Linked DNA regions of Drosophila melanogaster. The protein of the gene in region 1 interacts with the protein of each later gene in a pairwise test. Each region holds a gene or a part of one and is shown on either strand. Other genes may lie near its edges.

Region 1 (3,164 bases):
GCTGATGATATCTAAAGCGTATCTGATAGTCTATTATCAACTGCATATTTTATTAAGCTTAGTTTGATTAGATAGACGCGCAGGGTATAAACATATCATACATTTTTAAAAAAATATTTAAAATAATATTGTTATATCTATAACTCTCAAGAATTAACTTTTTTATGTTGACTCTGTTAGTTTTAATCATAACTTCATCAATACCCTATCAATATAAAAATATCTAATGCAATCAAAAATATAAGCTGATGGTTTTAAAATTGCACATATTATTTAAACAAAATATTTGAGATTTTTTTTTTATTTTTGTAAAGATTTTGCAGTATTTTTTATAGGTATTAAATATGGCTAACACATCTAATTGAAACACATTAGAATGTCATTAATGAAGACGCTATCTCCTTGACTCAATTTTATCCGGATAAAACAAATCCGAAATTGTTTCAGCTGCCGTTGATGAAAATAGATGATCAATAGATGAAAATAAAAAAAAAAATTTTTTTTAATATTTGTGTGTATTTGTAGGAGGCAATTGTAAAACTATAACAGTAATGGGTTGAGAAACGTAAAATGACAGTTCTTAGTGGTGGTAGGCAACAGCGGGGGCGGCGTAGGAGGTGTAGGTAGCAGGAGCGGCGTAGTGGGCAACTGGAGCCACGGTCTTGACCACGGCGGGAGCAGCGTAGTGGGCAACCGGAGCCACGGTCTTGACCACAGCGGGAGCAGCGTAATGGGCGACAGCAGGGGCGGCGTAGTGGGCAACGGGAGCGGCGACGGTCTTCACAACGGGGGCAACGGCGACGGCCTTGACCAGGGGCTCACGGTTGACAACGGCGTTGAATCCGTTGATGGGATCGGCGGTGTACTGGACGGTTCTCTTGTAGCCATCGGCGTCGATCAGGGAGTACTCTCCGCGGACCACGTCGCCATCGCGCTCCTCCACCTGGCTCTTGGAGTCTCCGGAGAGGGAGTCCTGAACATCGTAGGCGTACTTGTACTGGGGATGGGGATCGTACTCCTCGGCGGCCTTGGCAAGAACCGGCTGGGCGTGAGCAACGGCGACAGGTGCTTGGGCGTAGGTGGCCACGGCGGGGGCGGCGTGGTACACCTGCTGGACGGGCAGAACACCGGCGCTGGCGGCGGCGATCAGGGCGAAGAGGGCGATGAACTGAAAGAGGGAAAGCAGTTAGGATGTGGGTCTTTGGCGGGGCTAAGTCCTCGGGGCGAACCTTGAATGCCATTTTGATTTGGATTGATTTGGCTGCTGCTGCTGCTGCTGTTGGTTGTTGGAAGGCAAAATGAACTGTGAGGGCTACTGGGCCAACACTTGGCTTATATACCGAGATGGAGCTATTTCTTCAGCTGCTGCTACCATTGAATGGCCGAACTCGCTTTTGCCGGCGGGCCACGCTCTTGGCGTAATTAGTGCAATTCATTTATGCTAAACGTGTGTGGAGAGGGAAAAGTGAAGCTTGAAGGCGTGCTCAATCTTTGTATCTCTGTGTTTTGTCATCAAATAACTTCAATTTATCCGAGAGAAACGGAGAGCGTGCGCTGTGACATCACTGCTTACTAAATCCAGTTAGCTTACAAGACAGTTAATATTGTGGCAAAAAGGTCGCTTAAAAAGATATTAACTCAAAACATCTAAATTATCGTAGCTTTATTAAATTAAAATTATTATTTTTTATCACCCACCTTTGGTTTCCAAAATTTGAAGATAGTTCACAGGCGAACAGCTTTTTAACATGCTTAAAACTTTTTTTTGTAACATATTTGTAATATTTTATGTAGGTTAATAAAATTATACAACTTTGTAGGAAATGTGTTTTAAATACATAATAATCAAATTATGATCCCAACATAAAATATTCATTATACCTCACCAAGACAAACCTATGGATACAAACTCAAAACGTATTTAATAATTTGACTAGCAAATATTTAAACAAATAAGATCAGAACTTTTATTCCCTTTTTATAAAAAATGGGTTCAATTATACACACTTACTTTGTTGTACTTTCCAAAAGAAAAACAACAAAATTGAATAAGAAGACTCCAAGTTTAAGGAAAATAGTAATTAAAATTGGCTTGGCGTAATCAATTAAGTGCAGCTGGTTATTTCGACCGATCGAAATTGGCAGAACTGAAGAAGGTGCGTGACAATTTTTACATGCCACCGGCGCCGCTCGAGGTGATGCGCCAAAAATGAATTCCAATTAGGTGTCATCAATGTCACCAAGTAGCGTATAAAATAAACGGCCCACAATGGGTCAGACATTCAGTGTTTGGCTTCGGCTCAAGACAGCAGTTAATCAAATTCATCCAACTACAATGGCAGCAAAGGTTTGTGCTACCAATTGGAGGATAAACGTTCCGGGGGACTACTAGTGGATTACCAGACTGCCTTCGCCTTTTTATCTTGGAAAAAAAAATCCTAAAAAGAGTGTAATTTATTCCGCAGATTGTTATCGCTTTGGCTCTGTTCGCCGTGGCCCATGGCGCCGTCCTTAGAACTGCTGCTCCAGTGGCAGTGGCTTCTGCTCCGGTGCCAGTTTTGGCCAAGACCGTTGAGTTGGAGGAGGTTGATCCGCATCCTCAGTACACCTACAGCTACGACGTGCAGGACACGCTTTCCGGCGACAACAAGGGGCATGTGGAGGAGCGCGATGGTGACGTGGTCCGCGGCGAGTACTCCCTGATCGACGCCGATGGCTTTAAGCGCACCGTGACCTATACCGCCGATTCCATTAACGGATTCAACGCCGTCGTCCGCCGTGAACCCCTTGCCGCTGTTGTGGCCGCCGAGCCGTTGCTGAAGGTTGCTGCCCCATTGGTCAAGGCCGCTCCAGTCGCCCCCATCGCCCCTGTCGCCTTGGCCGCACCAGCTCCCATTGTGCGCTCCGCTCCAGTGGCCGTCGCTGCTCCTCTGATCAAGTCCGCTCCCCTAGCAGTTGCCGCTCCGTTCGTCCGCTCCGCCCCTCTGGCGGTGGCTGCTCCCGCTCCCGTTCTGCGTACCGCTGCCTATGCCACGCCTCTGCGGTACACCGCCCCTGCGTACACCGTCGCCCAATTGTAAACACCCATGCGACCGCTGTTATTTTGAACCCTTGTTTTGTTTCTATGATAATAAAATGTGATTTGATATGTTAATTTGAATTGT
Region 2 (3,494 bases), on another chromosome or scaffold:
AGATACTCAACCGACAAGCACTTACCAAAAACACGATATTGACAATATATAAAATAAAGTTGACTATTCCCGATAGACAACCCATTTTGAAAGTATATAGTTTGCTCCTGTATTTAGTAGAATTAAATAAACACTATTGTTTTATCCAAAGGAGTTGTCGGTGTCTCTGATTTTATCGCGCACTCGCGTCGTTTACTGTCGTTCGATTGGACTGCTCCTCCAGATGGGCTACTGTTTTTAAATTGGCCAACAGACACGGGCGCTATCGGAGGAAAGATACGCAAGTGCCTGTTATCATAATCATGGCCGAAACGAAAAATAGATAATGGGCACTGGGCGGCGGGCGGAGATCGATAGCCATTGCCATATGGAGGTGATTCACCACTACTGAGGGCATTCGATCTCGGAAACGCGGCACTCGGCTAACAGGCCGATAAGGACATACTTTTTGGAAAAACATCAACCTGTCTTGATTAGATAGACGGCAGCCAGAGGTAGACAGCGAATAAGCAATAATATTTCATTGGGCTTAACCTATTCTGGTTTATTTACGGTGAGTGAGTGAGTGAGGAATTCGTGTGTTGGATTTATGCTATGAACTGGGCTACGTCTAAGGATTGTATCTGACTTCGGCTCTAGCGCTTCCTCATCGCGCTGGCCAGGCAGCACGACATGATGAAGATGCCCAGCTCGAAGAGGGCGATGATCAGACTGCTCCATCGAATCAGGTCCGTATTGGAGGCCCAGAAATCGACGAACTCCTGCCGGCAGCCAGGTCGCTGGCTGTAGATCTCCGCTTCGCACACCTTGGTGCGATCCTTGTAGCCGCAGCAGGAGCTGGGCACGGTTTCATACTGTTGGTATCCCGTGTTGCCACAGCAAGAGAACTGCAATGGAATAGATACGTAAATATCCGGAAAAAACTAATGACATCTGATGGTGAATTTCGATAAACTTACGGCCAACTGGAGGGCATCCATGGGGTATCCCTGGGCGGCATTGTTCTCATCCCACGCCTTGTCCACTGCCTTGCCCATGCTGGACAGGAACTTGTCGTTGGCCGCGAAGATCCAGATGGAGAGGGCCAGTTGCAGGCCGAACAGAATCAGCATGCAGATGGCGTACTGAAAGGAATGCCAAGTCATTTAGAATCCAATTTCGGTCAGTGGGTGATTTCCGAGTGCTTACGATGGTGGTGCAGCAGGCGTTCTCGCGAATGGTGCCGCAGCATCCGAAGAAGGCCACTACGAAGGTGACACTTCCGATGACGATAATGCAGATCGGGATGGTCTGGGTGTTAACGCCTCCGTCGAAGGCCGTAAAGTTGCCCATCGTGGAGAGCATGATGGAGCCCACCACAATGAGCAGGATGCCACCGGCCACGAACACCAGGTTGAGCAAGTACAGCAGGTACTTGAACATCGCGGATAGACAGTTCATGGTGCTGGGTTCTGTTCGGGTTTCTCGTTGGCTAGCTGGATAATCCGTTCGTTCGATGTGACGATGTTCGTCTAACTGAATGGGCCCTCGGACAGAACGCGGCTATTAAAGCTTACTCGGAGTCCTCATCTTATCGGCTGCGCTCTTATCTCGGCCATAAAATTCCGTATGTACTTGTGCTGGAAGCTCCGATGCCCATGTACTTGTACTTGGTGAATCGCTTTGCACCCACGAGATACCAGATCATTGTGGTGGTCCGAACCTGGGAAATTACATCCTTGGCGCAATGATTCATTCAACGAATGGTAGGTGCAAACTGCTGGTGGCGGAATTTTATCTAGCCCTCGTGCGATTCCATCTTGGGGGCGTTAGATCGTTCATAAGATGAATCATTCACACCCTCCACACCTTGCCTTATCACCAGTCAAGAGTACGCGGTGCACGCTGACTCACATATTACGTTGCTTGGAGTCCGTTTCCCCGTGAGTCCCCGATCTTATCGCCTAGATTTATGTACTATCAATCGAGCAATAAACCTTTTAGCGAGTGCACTCCCAGCCTAACTTCAACAAGATTTTGGCAACTATTGGGGTTTCCACGGCGGAATAATTTCCCATTGACATTCACAAAACGGCTATGTGCCCTTCATAGATAAAATAGCTCAATGGAGATAAGATTTCGTCTGAGCCCTAAAAAGCTAACTAACTAAATATAGTCTTCTGATAGGTTAGTTCTACGGAAATATGTCAATAGAGCCAATGATTGATAATGATCTGTAATCAAAGTGTACTTGTTGGTTTCGGCCAACTCTATTTATACTTATTACTTTGCAGATTAAAACGTTATCGCGAATGGCCGAAATCCTCCCGTGGCAATTTAGAAAAATAGGTGCTTTAGGGATTAAGTCGAATTGCAAACAATGTAAGCTTTCCCATTAAGACAAAGACTGAACTCTTTTCGTAAATTGTAAATAAATTTCTCCGTTTATTGCAATCTCCAGGAGTATAAGTTATTTTGTACAGTTAAACATATTAGCACATTCAGTGTAACTTTGAACAAACGATCTTACAAAAGTGATCGTTACGCATTCGTCATTGGATTTGCTGCATTTGCTGCTTACGCTTGAGATTATGCAAATTTGAATGGCCATCTGTATCAGGTAAATATTCGTAAAATTGGGCAACATAATTCGTACTTTCGGTTTCAATTAAAATTAGTGCAAGGCCTTAGTCCTTTGTCGATTAATATTCCGCACGGCGTCTATAGTTCCGAATGCTGTTCGCCAAGCAACAGGCGAAAACGAATCCCACAAACTGAAAGCAAACAGAGTATGGTATATTGGAAGATATACATGTAGGTGTAAATCTCATAACGCTTATGGTAAAATAACAAACTAAACTGCATTGCTACGAATTATGATTTACATTACTTAGTACTTTTTGGTTATCCCCAAGAAATCACAATGGAAGGTAGGTAACATGAACCCATCCATCATATTTTCGAAATTCACATGGGGAAGCACCTAGATTCGATGATCGATTTCGTTCGATTGCGTTACTCTGGACAATAACTTACTTCGATGGCGGCGATGACCAGACCGGCATACTTGATGATGTCGCTGTTCCTGTCCCAGAACTCAACGAAGGTGACCTTGCATCCCCGCCGGTAGACGGTCTCCCAGCGGCAGTTGTTGGTGTCGCTGCAGCAGGAGGGAGGGAACTTGCCCTGGTAGGCGTAGTCGGTGTAGCCACTGCGTCCGCAGCATTTCATCTGCGGGAGCGGCAGAAAGTCAGTTGAAGGCGGGTCACATGTCCTTGGAAGTCCCTAAATACTTACGCTGATCTGAATCGCGTCCATGTAGTCGGAACGACTGGTGCGATGGTTCCAGGCCTTCTCGACCACGTCGCCCATGATCTCCAGGTACTTGTCCTTCTGCACCCACATGTAGATCACCAAAGCCAGTTGGCCAATCATCAGGACGAACAGCAAGATCGAGTACTGCCACAAAGAATACATTTTGAATTGCAAGATGAATGGCACGATGCAGGATCAGT

The links. Proteins that work in one complex are often made in the same cells at the same time.
Region 2: the proteins of Ccp84Ad (region 1) and CG30160 interact in a two-hybrid assay, tested with the Drosophila melanogaster proteins (one large-scale study listed by BioGRID).

The regions. Positions count from the first base shown.
Region 1 is NT_033777.3:6,690,875-6,694,038, reverse strand, and holds Ccp84Ad (Ccp84Ad), read right to left. Parts: upstream 1,308-3,164; 5' UTR 1,242-1,307; coding exon 1,230-1,241; intron 1,169-1,229; coding exon 581-1,168; 3' UTR 512-580; downstream 1-511. Other genes in the region: Ccp84Ae, read left to right, coding at 2,336-2,347, 2,466-3,080.
Region 2 is NT_033778.4:7,003,164-7,006,657, reverse strand, and holds CG30160 (uncharacterized protein), read right to left. Parts: upstream 1,502-3,494; 5' UTR 1,441-1,501; coding exon 1,189-1,440; intron 1,125-1,188; coding exon 960-1,124; intron 888-959; coding exon 636-887; 3' UTR 522-635; downstream 1-521. Other genes in the region: Tsp42Ec (tetraspanin 42Ec), read right to left, coding at 26-85; Tsp42Ea (tetraspanin 42Ea), read right to left, coding at 2,682-2,753, 3,016-3,210, 3,277-3,438.